Linked DNA regions of Rattus norvegicus. The protein of the gene in region 2 purifies or fractionates together with the protein of the main gene of each other region. This does not show direct contact. Links are inferred from orthologs where the notes say so. Each region holds a gene or a part of one and is shown on either strand. Other genes may lie near its edges. The genes, in order: Rabl6, Ap3m1, Ap3s2 and Ap3b2.

Region 1 (5,401 bases), on a different chromosome or scaffold from region 2:
GTCAGAGAGCAGAACTGTAGTCAGTGGGCACCCCACAAGGTTAGCCCACCGTCCAGGGGTGGAAGCTGGGCTGACTGGAAGGTCAATGGTGGCAGGGTGTGTACCTCTTTGCTTTTCTTCTTCTTTTTCTTCTTCTCCTTGGAGGGAAGTTTGCTGTCTTTATCTGCACAAGAAAGACAGCTGAGTTCCTACTTGCTACCATTTTGTAGGCAGGCAGGGGCCCTCTGCAGAGACCCCATCCTCAACGGGGCCTGGTTCCACAGGCAAGCTATGTATTTTTGTGCTGGTGAGTCTTGATCAAGCCTGTGAGTAATTTCTTCCCCTCCCTCTGGGGCTGAGAACCTGACAGTAACAGTCCTAAGCTAAGCTGTCTGCTGGGGCTGAGTAGGCCCAAGTCCCTGGGCTGTAGCTCCAAGCACTTCTCCAGGAAGCCTGGGTCTGAGGTTCCCAGGAATTTTCCCTGTTGTAACCTTTATTAGCCTGTGGGTTTGTCTGTCTGTTTGTTTTTTTCTCCCTTTCTCCTAAAATCGTTCTGCCCCACAGGCTTGGGACACCTGAAAGCATGGAATGTTGGCAGAACATTTGGAGAGGTGAGGACCCATAGGGAACCATGGATAGAGTGTGACAGTCACAGTCTTAGGTGACTATTCAGGACCATATTTGGGTGCATGTTTGCCAGCTGGTGTGACAGTTTCACCTCTCACAGCTAATGACTATGACGAAAGAGAAACCATAGGCAGTGTAAATTCTAAACATAGGAGCACCACAGACAAGGCCTCCAAGTCCTAACAGGTTCCAAGGAGAGGGGCAAACCCAGGCCCTCCTACCTTCCTCACTGCTTTCCTTGGGTCCCAGCTCCTCCAGGCCCAGCCCAAAGAGATCTGAGTCATTCTTCAGCCTGAAAGCAGGGACTGGGAACTTGGAGGGTGGGGGTGGCTGAGCAGGGCCAGTATCCTCATCAGTTACATCAGAGAGGTCTTCTCTTACTGGGAACCTGCCCTGGAAAGAGAGCAGTTGGTAGGCCTATTGTCCCCTGACCACTACATGGGATCTGGGAAGAGAGGTTGGCAAGTCCACTTCGGACTCCAGGGGCTAGGGATGGGGCCAGATGGGAGGGGCTAAGCTGACCCAGATTCAGAAATACCAGCAGTGCCTTCATGTAGACAATGGGCCCCCTCCCATGAACTCTCATTCACTTTCTCCATCAGGCTTCAGACACACAGTAAATAAGAAAGGGCTGTGCAGTGGGGAACTGGAGCCCAGAACATTCTCCTGCATCTCCTCAGACCCTCCTCTGGGAAACAGACCTTGACTGTCCTCCATCTCTCGAAGGATGGAGCCCGAGCTGCCCACGCAGCAGCCTCTCCTTACCACTCTCTTCTGGGTGTCCGACTCATCGCTTTCAAAGTCAGGGTCATCCATGACAAATGACAGCATCTGGGCAGCAATGGGACCCTCAGGATCGCTCTCTGATGACACCTGTTTGTCCTTCCCTTCCTGGGGTCTTTGAGAACCATCAGTGGGTGGCTTGGTACTGCTGAGTTCGGGCCCCAAGCCAGTGCTAAGACCATCTGACCACGGTGTTATGCCTCGAGTGGGGGCTCCCTTCTTTTGTGGATGTGAGGCCTTGGTGGAGGACCTTCATATAAGAAGAAATGTCAGGAGCTCTGAGGCCACTCTGGGCTGCCACCACCTCAGCTGGCCACACTCTGGGAATCCCAGCCCATACCATTTAGTCTCAGGCTCTGAGCACTGCTGAGGAGACACTCTGGGGTGGCCAGCCAATCCTTCAGCTTCCTCCTCACTTGAGAGACTGATGTTCTTACTGGGAATGGGGTCTGAGGGCAGCAGGGATTGGCCATGTGGTTGGTCTTCTATGTCCACATCATCCTGGAAACCTGCCACCATTGGGTTCCCTCCTAGGGCCTCTCCATCATCACTGCAAAGAAGGACTGGCCATCAGAAGTTCTGAGGGGGCTGTGTGTTGCTGATCACCCACCCGACTCGCTGCCTCTAGAGCTGCCCTGTCTGTAGTACCACATTCCAGTGGCAAGAGCTTCTGGGCATTCTGCTGAGAACAGGTGGACTAAAGAGTGAGGAAGGTACTGCCTGTTGCTGGCCAATGAGGGAATCAGTGGGAGGAGTCCAGAAAGAAGCCTCTAATTTGTTTGTTTCTGGAAGGGAAGCTTGGTCCCATACAGAATGGTGATGCTGGAGACAGTAATAGTCTTTCAACATTTGATGTGTTAGAGGGAGTAGACGCAGGCTTAACTATAGACAGATGTTGTTTAGAGAGGGGGTTGTGAGAAGGGCTAGCTGCAGGAAGTCAGACCTGGCCAGGGCCTGTTTCTCAAGGTCTGGAGAACCAGGTGACTTTTGCTATACCTCAACATAGACTGGGGCCTCAAGAGGCCTATGTCCCTGGTAGGCCATCTGCCAAAGCTCCTGCTATCCTAGAAGACTCAGCTCAATGTTCAGCTGTAGTTTGCTGTGGTCATAAACTCTGTCCTACTCCTGGGTAAGCTGTTTGTCTGTATTCCCAGGGCGGCTGGCAGTGATCAGCCGGAGTGGGCTTTGAGATGATCTAAGCCCTTCCCTCATTTCTTCCAGCCATAGCTTTCGTCCTCAGAGCTGACTGCCAACCTTGCAAGCAGCAGAGAGCTGTGTCCACAACCCCAATGGTGTCTCTAAGGTCCAGGTATGAATGGGATGGGGAAGCTCTGTTGGCTGGTCCTTGAGCTGTTATCAATTTTTTACCCTTACCTGTCACTATCCTGCTGTGGCCCTTTGGCTCCAACTTTCTTGTCTTTAGGCACGGTTGTGTCTTCCAGGAAGCTTCGGTCAAGGCCATCTTCAGGGACAAAATCCTCAACATTCTGGACTCTCACTGGAGCCTCTAGGGCTGGAGCTGGCTCTACAGAGAAATGCTGCTTCCTTCTTATTTGGTCCTCCATGCTAGGCAAGCCCCAAAACTGTGCCTGAAGGATTGGGACTTGGCTATTTTAGAACCAGGCTAAGGAGTGGCTGGTCCATGTGGCTTTTCAGGGGCACAGGGACATTCAGGTGAGGAATAGGAGGCTCAAAATGTCAGAAGGTGGCCCCAATTCACACACAAGAGCTGCTCCCAGGCTTACCTGGAGGTGAAATGGTCGCTTCTGCAGCTGGTGAGGTCCCAAACAGCCGAGAGATGATACTGCGGCGCTGGGCTGGAGCTGGGGCTGGAGGGTGTACAGAGGAGGGCGTGGCCTCCAAAGAGGGTGCAGGAGATGGTGCTGAGGGACAGGTGGAGGAGACACCTAGAGACAGCTGAGGGGCAGGCTGGGGTGTGCTGGGGCTGGAACTCCCTGTGGATACAGCACTTGGAGGCACGACTGGCGACTGGGAGCCTGAGGATGGGCTCTGCCCGTTGGCTGCCAAAGGAGATGCATGGCCTCGACTTCGAGCCTCCATCATTTCAAGGAAGCTGGGAGGGTAAAAGGGCAGGGAGTGAGGAACCAGTTTTTTCTTGGCCCTCTCTCCATGGCTTTCAGGTCTCAGTGTGCCTTTTATATTGATACTATTAGGCAGAGGACATGGTCCTCTGCCAGTCCACTGTCCCAGCCTTTGGTACCCAGACCACTCCCTTGCCTATCTTGTCTCTTTAGCATGGCTGCTCCCAAGGACATGCTCTCCCTCTACTCGGGCACTTCTTCAGCCTGGGGACCCGAGTTGCTCAGCAGAGGTTCAGGACCACTCATGCCTATGGGATCCGGGCAGGCCAGTAGCACTCGGCAGTCCCCACATGGCCAATAGGGATGAAGAAGTGGGACTGGTTATGGTTAGCGAGGTGGTCAGAGCATGAGCCACTGGAGTTCTGTTTAGGAAATTTCCCCTGTGCCAATGAGTTCAAGGCTCTTTCCCACTTTCTCTTCTATTAGATTCAATGTATCTGGTTTTATGTTGAGGTCCTTGACCCTCCACTTAAGCTTTGTGCATGGTGACAGATATGGCAACCTGAGAAGAGGAGTGGCTCTCATCCAGGCACGTGCTGATCCACACATAGGAACAATACCACAGGTCTAAGCACTTTGTAGGTTCTGTAGGCTCCAAAGTACTTGGTGGTGGAGAGGGCCAGAGCTGACACAGCCCACCTTCAGGAGCATGTGCCCTTACTTTCTACAAGAACTGAAAGGGAAATGTAGGGAGATTGAGGCTGTTCCTCAGGTCAGCATAGCTCAGTTCAAAATATTAATCTACTTGTTCTAGACAAATGTTGATCTGACTAAATATTTTACTAGTTAGCTCATATTAATAACTAAACCCCAATAGATGAACAGGAAGAGCTTTGGGCAGCATGGACACGTCCTAGAAGGCTGAGAGGAGCTGCTGAGCCATGTTAGTCCGATGCGTCCCATACTGTTCTACACTGAGTAGTACCAAGGTCTTGGCTGAAGGACACTCAAGCTGACTGTATATGCTGCTTTTTCCACTGCCTCATAGGTACAGCCCAAAGCTTGGCCCCGGCTCCTATTTGTGGACATGAGGCAACAGGGTGTAGGACCCATCCTTCCCACTCCATGTAGTCAGGGCCTACATGGCATAGACGCTGGCTCACGTACATGCTGTAGTTCTGGTCCTCGGTCTCCTGCTGCACGGACAGCTCCTCTAGTGTTGCATCGATGTCTAGTTGGTTTGTCTCCAGCTGCCTCAGCAATGTCTCCCTCTGCAGAGGAAGCGGACATAGCTGAATATGCCTCTTCCCCATTCTACAGCCTGTCTCTGTCAGAGACCCGAGGTCTGGCTGCCTGCAAGGTCAGCTTCATGACTTGGAGGATATAAGCCACGTGGAGCTACACCAGGAAGTGCCGCCTGCTGTTCCGAATCTTTGGTCACTAGCACTTTTGTTGGCTACAATACGTATCAGGCCACAGAAGCATGGAAACAGGTGCTTACGGTGTCTGTGGAGCTTCAGGGGCAACTTTAGGTGAGAAACTCTACCAGGTACTAACTGGGTAAAACATGCATTTCTAGTTTGATGAACAAAGCTGATCCAGCTGCCATGGCTGTCAGTCAACATGGCTTATTGCATTAAAACTTAATCTTAAAATACAGCGGCTTCTAGGCTGTGTAAGGAGCACAGAACAGGACTGTGTTCCTAGAGAGGCCCTGGTGGACAAGAGGCACTGCCTGGCTTGTCCCAGGCTCACACTGGGGTCCTTTCAGCACAGAGCAAACAAACCAAATGAAAAAAGTGGGAGTTAACTGCAGACCAAGAGACCTGGGGTTTGTTTATACTTTGAAAAGTACACACAGACAAAAAAAAAAAAAAAAAAAAAATGGGGTTGGGGATTTAGCTCAGCGGTAGAGCGCTTGCCTAGCGAGCAAGGCCCTGGGTTTGGTCCCCAACTCCGGAAAAAAAAAA
Region 2 (5,401 bases):
AACAGAGCGAAGAAAACAAACAAAACAAACAAAAAGCCCAACTCCTTTCTTAAAGTCAGTCTATCTAATGTTCAGCATCTGACTAGCTTCCTGGAAAACTGTATGTATGGTTATCTCAACAGAGACCCTTCCACTGAGATTTACTAAACATTTTGTTTAGTTTACATTTTAATTCAGAAGTAACACATTTGCATAGCAGTAAAAAGCAGTAAATTTATAAAACAACAACAAAAATCTGTTTCCTATTACTAACACCAGCTACTGTTAACATTTAGGCATGTTTCTTTAAATAGTCCCCCCATAAGTAGCATTTACCAATGTGTTTCTATTTTGGTAATTATGATTTTCTTACAGCTGTAAAGCCAGGTGTAGGGCTGGAATTTGTAATCCTAGCATTTGAGAGACAAAGTAAGAGAACAACAGGAAGTCTGAGGCCAGCCTGGTCAGAGTGAGTTCCAGGCCACGCACAGCTACACGGTAAAACCCGTTTTCATAAAGCAATAAATAAAAAATTAGGACAGGAAACAAGACAGGGAGCACAGTCCTGTAATTCTAACACTTAGGAGGCCAAGGCATCACTAGTTTAAAGCCAGCCTGAGCCGCTTAGGAGAGCTGTCTCTAAAGACAAAACAAAATACACACAAAAGCACCTCACAAACATAAAATATGGTTTCAGGGCTGGAGATGTAACAGGCAGAGTGTTTGCCTAGAATGCATAAAACCTTTTGTTTTAAGTCCAGCATTGAATGGTGGAGTGTGTACTTTAACCCCAGCACTTGTGAGGAAGTGGAGGCAGGAGGATTGCAAATTCAGTCATTCTTGACTACACAGCAACACAATACATTCCACTCTAGATTAGTTTTTAAAGACAAGATATGTGTATAGTCCAGGATGGCTTAGAACTGGGGATCCTCCCACATCAGCCCCCCAAATGCTAGAGAAGTGTGTGCAGCTAACAAGATTAACATTAGTTTTAGTCTATTTATTGCTGGTGATCCTGTCTCCAGCCTGTTACTTTCCAAGTGTTTTAGAAAAACACTGCTTTAATCATATTATTTCCCTGTTCAGAAACCTTTAGTGCTCCCTGCTTGTTTTCTGATAAAAGTTAAATGTTTTTTTTAGGCCCAGCACAAGTGTTCTCCCATCTTGGCTTCCTGTCCTGCTGGGACGGGAAGAGGCGTAGGCCAATTGCACCTTCTCCGAATGTCCTTCAGCGCTCAGTTATGAACAGCTCTACTTCTGCTCGAGGGGCTGACACAGCTCAGCCTCCCACTTTATGTGTATTTTCCTCATAAGTGCTCTTACTTATCTTACTCCACATTCTACTGATTCTGCTGGGTCCTGTGCTAGGGCCACTTGGTAGTTCAAGAAAGATTACTTCAACTATTGAACCATTCTTTGGTATGTGTACATAGGTGTGGCACTAGGAAACAGACTCAGGGTTTTAGTTTAATAATCAAGACTCTGTATCCGTGAACTTACAACTGCTCTCCTTTAGTTGCCCTAGTAGTTGGGATAACAGGTGTGCACACCACATCCAGCCTGAACAATTCTCTTATATGTCATCATCCCATGCTATAGTTTTACACTACACATTAGTAATTTTTTCCTATCCATTTTTTTTCTTAAAAGTTAAAAAGTATGAAATGGGCTGGAGAGATGGCTCAGTGGATAAAAGTGCTTGCTATACAGACATGAGGACCTGCCAGATCCCCGGACACACATAAAAAGATGGATGTGGCTATGTGCCGCACATGGCTAGGGCTGGGAGCCAACCTAGCTCCAGGTTCAGAGGACCTCTTCTCCTCAACAAAGAACTCGGGTGAGAGCAACAGAACATGACACCTAATGTCCTCCATGCACATGCACACATTCATAATATATATTTTAAAACATATACGGCAAAAATGAGGATGGCTGGCTCCTTAGCTAAAAATAGTCAATGTGAACATTTTAGCATTTTTCTCTTTGTAAATATCTCTCTCTCTGTCTGTCTGCTTGCCTGTCTGTCTACCTACTTATCTCTCTGTCTGTCTGTCTACCTACCTACCTACCTACCTACCTACCTACCTACCTACCTACCTATGTATCTATCGAGTTTGTACTGTTTCCCCCACCAAACACACTTCGTACTGTGAGAGATCTGCAGTGCCTCACTACAGTGTCCATGAAATACCACAGTGCTCTTATTTAAACCGTTTTCCCAGAGTGTAATTCCCCAACGTTAAAAGGACAACCAGAGATTTGGCTGGAGAGGTATATAGCATTCAGTAAGAATCTTCCTTTATTAGACTTTTTTTTCTTTTGCATGGAATCCCATTATGTAGCTCTGGCTAGCCTGGAACTCACTCTGTAGACTAGGCTGGTCTCAAATTCTCCTGAATGCTAGGATTAAAGGCTTGTGCCACCATGCCCGCTTTTTGTAGATTTAATCGAAGGATGAACTGAATATACTGAATTTCTAGATATGGCCTAGAATTATACCCAATTGAAAGCTTATTTATAAAAAAGCATAAGGCCCAATATGCATGACATCTACTAATGATCTAATTTTCTACTGACTAGTTTTTCTTTCTCTGAAGTATTGTGCATTGAACCCAGCAACAGGAAAATGAGCTGTATAACCCTAAAAGTCCTTTGTCCTTCAAGACTGAGCCTCTTTCAATAAACAAAACAAAACAAATTTCTCATTCTATATACCAAATTGGCCCTGAACTTAGCAATTCCCAAGTGATATGATTACACATGTGAGCTGCACCTGACATATTATCTGTTTCTGTTACTGTTCTCCACCTTCCAAAAGAAAAGGGGGCCTGGCCAGATGGGCCAGTGGGTAAAGGCATTTGATGCTATGCCTTAGGACCTGATTCAATCTCCAGATTGCATGTGGTAGAGGGGGAGAACCAACTCTCACTGTCTTCTGACCTCTATGTGTACACTATGGCATGTGTGCATTCATGTGCACACACACTTACACACCGAGAGAGAGAGAGAGAGAGAGAGAGAGAGAGAGAGAGAGAGAGAGAAGAGATATACATTCATTTAAACATTATTGTTAACTTTAATTTTGGCCAAACTGGACTGCCCTAATAGTCTGTCATATGAGCAAAATGAGCTGTTCATACAGTTTCAATGGATCAGTTCCTAGCAGTGTTTTCATTTTTCATACCTGTAATAGAATTGACGACAGAACGTAGAATTGTTGGTGGTTTAATCAGTTCTTTCAGAATGTTAGATTCGGTAGCCAGTGGGAATCCATTGTCTAACATTTCTTCCAAGAGCTCATACACTATGACCACATTATCCTTAATTGCAGCCTCTGAACACTCACCAAAGTAGTCCTAACAAAACAGTCATGGTGTTGAACAAGAGAAGGCAGGGAGGAAGGCTTGCTGTTCTTAATCCCCTTTGTAAACTACTGGAGTAAACTAATAGTAGGTTAACTCATGGTTAATGAGGCTAGAAATATATAGGCTTGAAAAAAATTCTCTATGGAAGTCCTAACATTTCTCTTCAATATTTTCTTATTGTATTTATACTGAGCTGATTCCTACTATATCATGCCAGAAAGTACTGAGACATTAATCTGGAATGTGAGGCATAAACTTCATTTGCCCTATTAACCCACACCCACACACTTACAGAGCTTTAAGCCATTTGGTTTACTCGTCAAAACAATAGGAAATAGACAACAGAAATATAAAGGATCTCATGATCAATAAAAACTTTGTGATGATCCAGAGAATACTTGTTGGAGGGCACTCCTGTCTCCTCATGATATAATTTGCCGCACATAAAAAACAATGAGTAGAGTGGCGATGTGTGCTACCGTATACCCTCAGCACGTGTTTATGAGATATGTTTAGTTGCAAAGAGAAGTCAGACAGTACACAGAAACTTCAATAACCAGTGTGTGTGTGTTTGTGTGTGTGTGTGTGTGTGTGTGTGTGTGTCTGTCTGTCTGTCTCCTTGAACTATCTTGGGTGATTTAGTTTCAACAGTTTGACAGATACAAACCTGAAAAGTGTCAGCAACTCGATGCAGAAACTCAATTACAAAGAGAGGTGGCACTTCAGTCTGTATCACAGACACAAAGAAGAGCTTATCCCGGTAGATACTAATGAGGTAGTGGTGAGGTGTTGAAATGACAGGTGGTACATTTTCAACATCAGCAGCTTTCTCCTGAGCTTCAAAGAAATAGTCACACACAGATTGGCTTACAACGCTCTTCCAGTGTTTTTCTAGAAATATGTCGCCAGAACAGTTGATGAGAAATAGACTGTGGATCATTTTCTGTGAAGGAAAACAAAGGGGGCTGGAGGTTATACTTATTGTACTCTGAAAATGCACAGTTGCAGTAGATGGCAGTGAATGCAGAGACTCACCACTGGATGAAGCACAGAGAGTTACTTTGGAGCACTCAGCCTGAAATAGGAGGTCTATCAAACCCCTCCCCTCAAGACTCAGGGAACTGTGTATAGGAGAGAAGAGTCCAAGAACCAGAAGTGGTGGAGACTCCAAGGAAAGAAACAATATCTTCCAGGCGCAACAGAGATGATACACATAAGAACTCGTATAGACTCTGACACCACACAAAGACCTCCACAAATTCAAACTAGACAAAAACCCCAGGGTAGAGAAAGGGACGCAGACACAAAGTCCTACTCCTAACCAAGAAGTGTTTGCAACTGATACATGCTAGGAAAGGGAAAATTGTTTTTGTCCAATACAGTATCACTGGGTAGGGTAGGCACCATCCACAGGAGTAGTTGGCTAACACAAGGATGACTCTGTGTATGTGTGAATGTATGTATACACATTCTGTTTTGTTTTGTTTTGTTTTTTTTGTCCTACTGTGTTTTTTATTTGATTTTCTTTCTTCCTTTTCATTTTTAAGGGGAGAGAACATGAAGTTGGAAAGGTAGGGAGGAGGGAAGGACCTGGGTAGGGGAAGGAGAAAGAATATAATAAAAATATATTAAATGAAAAAATATCATTGTCACATTGCCTTGACATAAAAACCAAAGGCAATGTAAATAATAGCAGATTAATATTACTTAAGAACTCAGATGGAAAAGTTCTTAATTCTAGAAAACTAAATTCAGCAACTATTTTTTAAAAAATACAGTTAATTCCAAGAATGCAAGTTTATTTAACACAAGATAGTTAATCAGTATAATATACAATATATGCCAGTTAGTTCTGTTAACTTGACACAATCTAGGTAAATCTGGAAGAGAAAGTCTAATTGAGGAATTCTCTCCATTAGACTGTTCTGTGGGCATATCTGTTGGTCATTTTCTTGATAAATGATAAATATAGGAGGACCCAGCCCATGGTGGGTGGTATAAGCCCTAGGCATGTGGTCCTGGGTGGTGTGAGAAGCTGAGCAAGCCACTAA
Region 3 (5,401 bases), on a different chromosome or scaffold from region 2:
GGTGATCCATAGTAGATGAATTTTCAAACACTGTCCTTCGTCACCATTTAATACTTCAACTATGAAATGTCTAGTTGTTTTTGTAGAAACAGGAAGTGCAATGCTTTCCTGACCTCTAACTCAAAAGGCATGACTTTCATGTAGAGGTCGGAGGGTAACCTCAGGTGTTGGTCCTCACTATCTTGTTTGAGATGGGGTCTCCAGCTCTCTTCTATGCAAGGGCTGGTACCTGATTTTCTGATTTCTCCATTTCCCCATCTGGTGGCCCCTGAGGTTTCCAGCATGTCTGTCCTGTTGTTTTTTCTTTCAAATTCCAGCAGTCTTGTCCCATGCAGTTCTGTTCTTAGTCTGTTTAAACACTCTTTCATCTTCAAGACCGAGAACTCACGAAAGGCAACCAGGGCTCTCTATAATACCCCTGCCTTGGGCACTGTGCTCCCCATAATGCCCCTGTGCTCCCTGTAATACCCCTGCCTTGGGCACCATGCTCCCTGTAATGCCCCTGTGCTCTCCATAATACCCCTGCCTTGGGCACCGTGCTCCCTGTAATGCCCCTGTGCTCTCCATAATACCCCTGCCTTGGGCACCATGCTCCCTGTAATGCCCCTGTGCTCCCCATAATACCCCTGCCTTGGGCACCGTGCTCCCTGTAATGCCCCTGTGCTCCCCATAATACCCCTGCCTTGGGCACCGTGCTCCCCGTAATGCCCCTGTGCTCCCCGTAATACCCCTGCCTTGGGCACCATGCTCCCTGTAATGCCCCTGTGCTCCCCATAATACCCCTGCCTTGGGCACCGTGCTCCCTGTAATGCCCCTGTGCTCCCCGTAATACCCCTGCCTTGGGCACCAGGCTCCCTATAATGCCCCTGTGCTCCCCGTAATACCCCTGCCTTGGGCACTATGCTCCCCATAATGCCCCTGTGCTCCCAATAATACCCCTGCCTTGGGCACTGTGCTCCCTGTAATGCCCCTGTGCTCCCCATAAATACCCCTGCCTTGGGCACCATGCTCCCTGTAATGCCCCTGTGCTCCCCATAATACCCCTGCCTTGGGCACCGTGCTCCCTGTAATGCCCCTGTGCTCCCCATAATACCCCTGCCTTGGGCACCGTGCTCCCTGTAATGCCCCTGTGCTCCCCGTAATACCCCTGCCTTGGGCACCAGGCTCCCTATAATGCCCCTGTGCTCCCCGTAATACCCCTGCCTTGGGCACCATGCTCCCCATAATGCCCTGTACTCCCCGTAATGCTCCTGCCTTGCCTCCTGAGGGCTGGGCTGCACCACCACTGTGCTCACCTGTCAGCTTCCACTCTGTTGTGTAAGAGCTGCTTTTGCTTCCTGTGCACCTTTAGACTCTTCGTTACGAGGACCCCAGTTCTTGGAACTGGTTATGAAAGTAAACTAGGGAGTAAGGCACTATGTATGTTCCATGCCCTGGCTTTAGGCCGCCATTGCAAATAAAATTAAAATGTAAAATACTTAAGATTGGGGAGATGGCTCAGTCTGTAAAGTGCTTGCTGCACAAATAAAGGCCGTGAGCTTCAACTTCCAGAACCCAAACAAAAAGCCTCTGCAGCAAATCCTGGCAAAGGCTGGATGATGCCCAGGATCTGCTGGCAAGTCTAGTCTGTCTAGCAGGTCAGTGGCTCCAGGTCCAGTGAAAGACCCTATCTCAGACAGTAAGGTGGAGAGCAAGTGAGGAAGGCACCCACTGGCCTCCACAGTATCTGCACAAACACAAGTCTTGCACACAGGAAGTGTCTTGCACACAGGAAATATAAATACATAAATGTAATATGGTTTCAGAGCGGAAAGAAAATTCAAAATATTAATAACCGAGGGCAGTGTGAAGGCTGGGTAGGAACCACCATTCAAATCGAAGTCCCGGAAGGTTCTCAGGCCTTTTCCCAGAGCACCACCTGGTGGACGTCTGGAAACTTTTTTTTTTTTTAAAGATTACTATGTATACAGCATTCTGCCTGCATGCATGTATGCCTACAGGCCAGAAAAGAGCAACAGATCTCACTATAGATGGTTGTGAGCCACCATGTGGTTGCTGAGAATTGAACTCAGGCTCTCTAGAAAAGCAGCCAGTGCTCTTAACCGCTGAGCCATCTCTCCAACCCCTGGTAACTCTTATGGACATCAATGAGACTGAAAAAAAAAAAGACCCAGAGGACAGTTACTGAATGCCCCCATCCCCACGCAAACTCAGAGAGTTGTTGCCATTAGTCTGTGACTTCACATACCTGGATGAGGTCCAAGATCCCAAGTTCACTCTCTGATGAATCCACACAAAACACGAAGTAGAGGGTAGCATAGTGCCGGTAAATCAGTTTGTAGTCAGAGCCACCAATCAAACTGTGGGAGACGGCAGTAGCAGTTGAGAACCCAGGTCTTAAGTAAACTTATCAAAGAACGGGAATGGGCCTAACAAAGAAGAGCGGGCATCTCCACATGATGGCAACTGAGTGTGGAAGGGGAGCTTGAGGCCCCTTTACTCCATTGTCACCCTTCTCTTGCCTATCCTGCCAGTGACCATACAGAGTGATGACCAGGGGCTGCAGAGATGGCTCAGAGGTTAAGAACACTGTCTGCTCTTCTGGAGGATTCAGGTTCAATTCCCAGCACCTACATGGCAGCTCACAACTATCTGTAAACTCCAAATCCAGGAGATCTGACACCCAATGCACATAAATTAGAAATAAGTTATATAAAAAGAGAAAGAAAAAATCTCAGTGATGGCTGAAGCTCAGTGCAAGTGTTTCCCAGGAATCAGGCGTCTTCCTGGGCAGCTCATGCTAAGAGCAGGTTACTTGGGTCTGGTGTAGCAGTGCACACCTGTAATCCTAGCACTATGAGGCGAGCAGACCTGAGTTCAGGGCCAGTCTGGACTATACAGAGAAACATGGTTGTGTTGGACCCTCACTCCCAGCCCCCACCAGACAAAAGAATAGGTTATGCTGCATCAGGTAACCATTGACCCCCGCAGTACTAGAAGAAATGAAAACAACCAAGGCCACCCAACGTGGAGCTGGGGGAGGAGGGAGACGGCCACCTGAAGCTGATGGTTTACCTTCCACCTTCTAAGAAGTTACAGATGTTGTCATCTCGCTTGAGGACCAGGTGGAAGGTCTCTCGAACAATCTGCTGTTGAATTTCTTCTGGCTATGGAACAACAACAAAAAAAAAAAATCAGGGGGCAGATGAGGAAAACGTGCACCTATCAATAAGAGCAGATAGGTAAAGAAGGGATTCTGGGCTAGAGAGATCAGCAATGAAGAGCGCTGGGTACTCTTCCAGAGGACCCAGGTTCAATTCCAAGCACCCACATGGAGGCTCACAACTGCCTGTAACTCCAGTTCCAGGGAATCTGACACTCTCACACCAATGCACAATCAATCAATCAATCAACCAATCAAGGGGTTCCAAATGGGGCACAACTGGAAAAGCTCATACATAAGCACACAAAGCACACAGAAGGCAGAGAGTGACTATGGGGAAAACAAGGTTACAGTGATTAACGTGGGCTTATTTACCTAGGTATTTCAGTCACGAGCCTTTATATCTTACAGACAAGCTCAGAGTCAAACAAGGAATTGGAATTCATAATCTCACAAAATCCTTAAATCTTTTTTTTAATCTGACCCCAATCCTCTGAATAAAATCAATACTGGGTATGTAACGAGTCTCAAAGCTCCAGAACTGTATGAAGGTCAAGATGTAATCATGCACATGTCTCAAAGATAAATTTGTCACTTTTACTTAATACCAGTACTACATATGAGATGTTGCTTTACTCACAGACAAAAGATTACTGGCAAAACAGAAAATGTATTTATAGATCTGATTTTGGGACATCTAAACAAAACCACAAATAAACTCTTTTCATTTAATAGTCACTTGTAATCTTGAGAACCTCAATGGTGAATGAATCACATGTTAAATCACATTTGATTTCCATTTATATGTAAGGGTTTTATAATAGGTACAGCATACTTTTTTTTAAAAGCCATGCATGGTGGTTCACTCCTGCAAGGCCACCTAAGACAGGACAGTCACTAAGTTGAAGGGCAGCCTGGTTTATATGGTAAAGTTCAGGCTATCTCAACAAAACAAGAGGGAAGAGTGGGGAGGGGTAGAGAGGAGAGGAGAAAGGAAACCCACTGAGTAGACCATGTGTGTAATCCCAGCACCTGGGTAGGTAAAGGCAGGAAGAAGGTGAGACCCTGTATAAGGAGGTGGGAAAGCAAGAAGTGGCAGTGCTTTAATACCAGCACTTGAAGAAGCAGGTGGATGGATATCTGTGAGTTCAATGCCAGCCTGGTCTACACAGTAAGTTCCAGGTCAGTCAGGGATACAGAGTGAGCCTGTCTCAAAACAGACAGGATAAGGAAGAAACCAAACAGAAACTAGGTAGTTAAAATATCTAAATCAGAACCTGGGAAGTAGTGGTGCATGCCTTTAATCCCAGTGCTTGGGTGGCAGAGGCAGGTGGATTACTGTGAATTCGATGCCGGCTTGTTCTACAGTGAGTTCCAAATCAGCCAGGGCCACAAAGAAAAACCCTGTTTTGGAAAACAAACAAACAACAACAAAACCCTCTAAATCAGGAACTGGAGAACTGGTTCAGCCATTAAGATTTGTTGCTCCTACAGAAGACTTGGGTTCAATTCCCAGTAGCCAGGTGATGGCTGACAACCATCAATAAATCCATTTCCAAGGGATTCATGCTGACTTCTACTCTTCAAGGGCACCAGGTACACATGTGGAACACACATGCATGCAGGGAAACACTCATACATTTAAAATAAATAAATCTACAAATAATATAAACCCTCTGGCCAGTCTTCCCACATGAGGCTGTGTGATGAGTTGGCTGGGGATTGTGTTTAAATGTGGTTCTGCTTTAATCCGCCTGGGCTGGGACCAGAGTCTGTTTTGTCACGCTCCCACAAACAGCAGTGCTTCAGGTCTGGGGACTATACTATGGACTGAACAGGATAAGAAAAATGTTCACCTTGAATCTTCCTTAAACCAAAAAGACACATTAAAAAAATTTTAATCCCTTTTGTTCTACACCACTGAGCTTAGCTTTGAAGTGGCCAGTTCTTTAAAAGCCATTAAGGGAGGCACACCAAAAAACAGGGGACTAATCAGTGAGAGAGTTCCTTAAAAGCTATTGGGGGCCACAAAAAATAAAAGGGGGACTGATTCACTGAGAGGAAGTGGCTGCCTCAGTGTGAGTTCTGAAAACCTCTCAGTATCTACTGAATGTATGAATGCAAACTTGCTAATCACTGGCCCACAAATGGGAACCAATCAATCACTATCTTCCTGGTTTCCATGTGAACAACACAGCAAGCTCACATTTGCTAGGGTGTTGTCAAAGATTAACTCTG
Region 4 (5,401 bases), on a different chromosome or scaffold from region 2:
GCCTGAGGATGGAGGCGGAGGGGTAGAACAGATTAAAAGATGGACTTTTCATATGCAGCACCCCCTCCTCCACACGGTTTCGTTTTCATGAACAGAGCTGCCAAACAGAGTTCCTAAAGTTAGCCACGGTTTTCTAACTTTATTGCTGTACTGCCATGTCAGTCTGCCTGAATCTCCAGTAATGGCATTAGGGATATTTCAACCCAGCCTCACAGCAAAAACACAAGGGATTAATCAGTCAGCCATCCTTAGTCAGAGCGTTGGTGGGAAAACGGAATGGTGGGAAGGGCTAAAGAGCTCTGTGAGGGAGCCCATGAGGATAGTCTTGAACGTGGTCATGCAGTCTAACCTCTCTCCTTCTCCCTGAAGAAGGTCCAGTGCCCATTTGGAGTTTGATCTGGGTGAAGTTAAAGCACTGAGTTACAGATTCTTAAAGTCATGGGCACACAGCTAGAAAGATGGCTCAGAAACTAAGAGCACTTGCTGATCTTGTAGATGACCCAAGTCCAGTTCCTAACACCCACATTGGGCTGTGCACAATTGCCTGCAACTCTAGAGCCAGGAAATCTGAAACCACTGGATTCTACAAGTCACTGGCACATCTGTGCACATACTCCCCCAACACACACATGCACACACACACACATACACACATACACACACACACACACACACACACACACACACACACACACACCCATGAGTTTAAAGTAAAATAAATCTTTAAAAGGACATTGGCTGGGTGTTAGTAGTATATTCCTTTAATCCTAGCACTCAGGAGGCAGAAGCAGACAGATCTCTGTGAGTTCAAGACCAGCCTGGTCTACAGAGTGAGTGCCAGGACAGTCAGGGCTACACAAAGAAACCCTGTCTCAAAATAAACCAAACCAAAAGGAAAAACAAATATCAGGGGGATACTGTCAGGGCTGCTCCCTCACCTGGATGTTGTCTGTGAGTTTTGCCAAGTGTTTGATGATCTCGCCGTGCTGCGCTGGCTGCATTTGCAGCAGCTTCTTAATGACCACCACTGACTCAGCAACCACAAGCTCTAGGGGATGGGAATGAGAACACAAGCCCCAGACCAGTCAGATGGCCACACCCAGTTCTCAGGCAGCCCTCGGTTACAGCAACACCTGCACACTAACTGAAGCAGACAAACCAACAGGTTCACATTGTACCTAGACACGCAAGGGGATAACCACTGGCCAGCAAGGTCAGGCATGCAGGCACACAGACACCACCAAGACTGGACACTTCTAGGGGTTGGGGATTTAGCTCAGTGGTAGAGCGCTTGCCTAGCAAGCCCAAGGCCCTGGGTTCGGCCCCCAGTTCCGAAAAAAAAAAAAAAAAAAGACTGGACACTTCTCCAGGCAAACACTAACCATCACGGTTGGACAGAAGCTGCACCAAGCCATTGAGGCAGGTGTCACGGACTCGGCCTATGTTCGTTGCACATCGTCCGATGGCCTGGATCGTGGCCGCCACAAAGTCTTTGTCCATGCTGCGAATGTAGGTCTATGGACATCATGACACAGTAACATCTAGTAAGTAGTGACTACACAGTGAAGAGTTGAAGGGTGACCTTCAAGCAGACGAAGACTGTAACCCCCCTCGTATGATAACTCATTAAGCCTTGGGGGACAGTGATGTCTCCAAACCACATCCAGGGCCTAAAGCCAACAGAAGGCACTGAAAGGGGTCTAAGGAAACATTTCTCCAGCTTTGGGCTCTTTCAGAAAATGAGACCCAGCAGGGAAATTCTCACTAGATGCAGGGATCTGTAGGGCACCTCTCCGGGGCCTGGGAGCTAGAGGTTAGCCCGTAGCCTGTACCTGGAATTCCCGTAGAACAGTGGGGATGTTGGTCTCATTGGCCAGGTTGGTCAGCACTTCCAGCTGCAAGGAGAGGTAGAGGGGCAGAAAGTGGCCAGTGTGGCCAGCAGGTTTTCTGGGATTTTATTGCAAACAAACTTTACAGACTAGGAAGCAATACTCAGGACCGTTCTGCCCGTGCTTAGAATGACGAGGAAATGCTAGATCATGAACCGTCTTCAAAAACACAAGAAGGTCAATTTGCCTCCTCAGTGAAGTCCCTGACAAAGTACAGGTGAAGAAAGGTCACGCTGCCTCCTCCCTCCACGGAAAACTATTCCTTTGAGGACAGAAACCAAGGATGATCTGTGAATCTCTGGATGACCTGACCGTTCCTGCCTCAGAGTAATCGCAAACGCTGTTCCGTTTGTATGGAGCAGTTCTTCCCATTCCTGACCCTGTACTTAGGTAACTCACATCCGTTTATCAGGTCTCAGCTTGGAGTCCATCTTCCCAAGGAACGCTTCCTTGATCCAAATGATGGTGGCCCCATTCTAACTTAAAAAAAATTGTTTTTAATTTTCTGTGTATTGTTTTGTCTAAGCACCATGTGCATGCAATGCCCGCAGATGTCAGAGGAGGGCATTGGATCCTCTGGAACTGGAGTTACAGGTGGTCATGAGCCCGCATGTGAGGGCTAGGAATGGAACCCTGGTCCTGTGGAAGAGCAGCCAGCGCTCTTCAGCTGAGACACTGCTCCAGCCCTGATGTCTATTTATATTTCTCTGCACTCTTCGCTCTTGACATATTTCACAGATGGGTTTTCTCCATTTATCTTGGGATTAACTGCTTACTGCCTCTTTTGCCCCCCAACAAGACTACAAGCTCAATAAAAGCAGGATCTCTGACTCAGTTCCTTCACCTTGAATCCCTATGCTAACACCTGTTTGTTGCTGCTGTTTTGAGACAAGTGTCTCAAGTAGTCCAAATTGGCTTTGAACTCCATATGTGGCCAAGAATAATCTTGAATTTCTGATCCTTCTACTCCCACCACCTGAGCGACAGGATTATAGGCCTGTGCTACCTCATCCTGGTCATGGGATGCTTGGTATCAAACCCAAGGTCTTGTGCATATAAGCAAGGACTCTCCCCAGACCCCTTGGGTCCCTGGATCTAGTAACAGAAGTAGCAGCAGATGTGCTAACAAGTGAGAAAGTTGGTCACTGTTCGATGCCATCACTCAGTAAAAAGGCAATAGAATGGGAAAGGAACAGAGGCACAGGCTCTCAACACTGCCTGTTGGTGTATGTGTTCCAGAAAGTCTGAAGGGGCAGGTATGTGAGAGGCAGAACTGCAGAGTATGATGACTTCACACTAGTAACATCACTTCCTGGAGTCTACAATTTAAAATATAAAATGTAAGCGATACAGACTTTTGGGGGTGATTATGAAAATTAAGTTATTCTGGGAAGTGTCTGGTGCATACCACGCAGGCAGTTGTGTAACAGTTTCCTCCAAGACGGAAACATTCCACCCTGCTGGAAGCTCCTAGGGCAGGAAGGTAAACAACTCACAACAGCTTCAAGAAGTCCCTGAAACTGATCAGATTCTCTAGGCCCTGCCCTTCCACAGCAAGCGGATTAAGAGAGGCTGAGCTGCCAAGACTCAAAGGCAGCTCTAACTAAGCTGCAAAGTAGACTCTCTCAGCCAAGCTGAGCTGCAAAGACTCTCAGACCAGAGGAAGCAACAACCTGTGGAGCTGCCTGCAGGCTGTGCTGTGTGCTCCAGGTTCCCAGCTTTCCTGAGCTGTCCTCCATGCTGAGGTGGGCCTTGGTAATGCAGCCATTTTTGAGTGATTTCTGCTCCTGTAAGTAACCCCTCACTCCATACTCTTATAAGTAACGGCCCCCAAAAAAACCCTCATTGGTTCACCCAAGTTGGACTTGGGTAGTATCCGTACTTTGACTTCCTATCTGGGGTTAGTAGGCATGTGCTGCATATCCCCAGAAAAACATGTGTCAGGCTGATAAGCCAGGGGTAGTTTCCCACCACCTGAGCAAACACTTTCAGCCTAGAGATGTGCGCTGCTCCACAAAGAGGCAGGTGCCAATGTGTTCAGTATCAGTTAATCCAGCTAGTATTCAACCAGTTTAGCTGGAATCAGAGTCAAGCACAGTCTTGCACTCACCTTCAGGATCTTGATCTGGGTAGGATCCGTGGACCTAATGTAGAAGCTCTTCAAGTAGGGTTCAAACATTCCCTGGCAAGAGAGAGTATTCTTGGGGCTCTCCACCACAGTCCTAGATCTGCCTCTTCCAGAGACATCTGCCCCTCCCACCACAGACCCCACGACCCTTCAGCCTCAACGCTGTCATCTTTGCCTCAAGTTCCCCATCCATCTTAGATCTGACTTTCTCTTTAGGCACCGCCCCCCCCCCAGTGGCCCCTTCAGAATCTAGACCCTTCTGGTTTGCGTTTGGGACTCTTGAAAAACCTAGACCCTGCACACACAGGGTAATTGTAATTCCCCCATCTTTCCCTACAACCCTGCTCGTCCCACCCCAATTCCCACCAGCTCCCACAGAGCCCGCAGGAGCCAGAGCAGACCTTGAATGCATGCTCACCCTGCGCTTGATGGACATGGTGGCCACATTCTGGAGCACTACGTACTGCACCTCGCTGTGGAGAGGATGAGTTAGAGGTTTCTGAACCCCTCGGATGGGGGCAGGGGCGGTGGGTCGGGGAAGACGGGCTAGACAAAGAGTTGGGAGGAAGGAGCTGATGGGAGAAAAGCGGGATCTGGCGGCGGAGGGGGCGGGGCTTCCCGCACCTGTGGCTGCGCAGCAGGCGAACGAGAGCCTTGGCGATGACGCCCACCTCTGCCTTGGGCGCCAGGTGGAAGTAAAGCTGTGCCACCGCCATGACCACGGCGGCGCTGCGGCTCTGCAGTAGCGGCTTGGTGTTCCGCAGCAGCAGCCGGTGATCTGGATCCATTACATAGGGCTTCCGAGCAGGCAGCGCCGCAGTGGCCGCTTCCTCTGATCCAGGGCCTTTGGCCTCGTCCTCCTCAGAGCCATAGAAGGCCTTCTCAGGATTCTCCTCCAACAAAGACTCCTGAAAGAGATACGGCCGAGTGTGTGAACATCTTCCCTGGATGACCTCCCGCCCCTCCCTGCAGGGCTGGGGCCTCGCGCTTACGTTCTGCGTAGGGCTCAGGAACTGCGTTCGTGCATAACGCGTGAGCATGCTGATGATCACCACCTGGCCCCACTCCTCCACGTCGATGAGCAGGTTGCAGAGCTTCCGGTAGTTTTTGTGAATCAGGTCGATGCGTTCCGGACAGACCTCTTCAAAGGCCATCACTACACTGCCTGCCACCAGCTGGAGAAGCAAGGCAAGAGGATGTGAACGGGAAGGGTGGAGGACTCGAACCCTTCCCACCACTCCTCGTCCTGTCTTCCATAATACCCACCGTGGTCTTGTCTGCCAAAAGCTTCTCAATGACTTCTATCAGCTGGTCCTTCTGATCAGAATCCAAACTGAGGGAGAAACAATCGCTGGGAATGTCTTCCCTCCTGTCCCCAGGCTCC

What was found.
Region 1: the proteins of Ap3m1 (region 2) and Rabl6 purify together in Homo sapiens (co-immunoprecipitation; 3 studies listed by BioGRID and IntAct, counting the BioPlex papers as one, with this or other methods). This does not show direct contact. The link is inferred for Rattus norvegicus from reciprocal best matches to the Homo sapiens genes AP3M1 and RABL6.
Region 3: the proteins of Ap3m1 (region 2) and Ap3s2 purify together in Homo sapiens (co-immunoprecipitation; 3 studies listed by BioGRID and IntAct, counting the BioPlex papers as one, with this or other methods). This does not show direct contact. The link is inferred for Rattus norvegicus from reciprocal best matches to the Homo sapiens genes AP3M1 and AP3S2.
Region 4: the proteins of Ap3m1 (region 2) and Ap3b2 purify together in Homo sapiens (co-immunoprecipitation; 3 studies listed by BioGRID and IntAct, counting the BioPlex papers as one, with this or other methods). This does not show direct contact. The link is inferred for Rattus norvegicus from reciprocal best matches to the Homo sapiens genes AP3M1 and AP3B2.

The regions. Positions count from the first base shown.
Region 1 is NC_086021.1:28,801,754-28,807,154, forward strand, and holds part of Rabl6 (rab-like protein 6), read right to left. Parts: intron 4,703-5,401; coding exon 4,599-4,702; intron 3,464-4,598; coding exon 3,135-3,463; intron 2,915-3,134; coding exon 2,764-2,914; intron 1,940-2,763; coding exon 1,730-1,939; intron 1,640-1,729; coding exon 1,372-1,639; intron 1,000-1,371; coding exon 828-999; intron 164-827; coding exon 105-163; intron 1-104. UniProt on the Homo sapiens protein: May enhance cellular proliferation. May reduce growth inhibitory activity of CDKN2A.
Region 2 is NC_086033.1:3,301,691-3,307,091, reverse strand, and holds part of Ap3m1 (AP-3 complex subunit mu-1), read right to left. Parts: intron 4,294-5,401; coding exon of another isoform or gene 4,291-4,293; coding exon 4,018-4,290; intron 3,342-4,017; coding exon 3,170-3,341; intron 1-3,169. UniProt on the Homo sapiens protein: Part of the AP-3 complex, an adaptor-related complex which is not clathrin-associated. The complex is associated with the Golgi region as well as more peripheral structures.
Region 3 is NC_086019.1:143,260,845-143,266,245, forward strand, and holds part of Ap3s2 (AP-3 complex subunit sigma-2), read right to left. Parts: intron 3,168-5,401; coding exon 3,076-3,167; intron 2,361-3,075; coding exon 2,249-2,360; intron 1-2,248. UniProt on the Homo sapiens protein: Part of the AP-3 complex, an adaptor-related complex which is not clathrin-associated. The complex is associated with the Golgi region as well as more peripheral structures.
Region 4 is NC_086019.1:144,833,040-144,838,440, forward strand, and holds part of Ap3b2 (AP-3 complex subunit beta-2), read right to left. Parts: intron 5,351-5,401; coding exon 5,284-5,350; intron 5,193-5,283; coding exon 5,010-5,192; intron 4,926-5,009; coding exon 4,642-4,925; intron 4,491-4,641; coding exon 4,436-4,490; intron 4,072-4,435; coding exon 4,000-4,071; intron 1,896-3,999; coding exon 1,833-1,895; intron 1,516-1,832; coding exon 1,383-1,515; intron 1,049-1,382; coding exon 939-1,048; intron 1-938.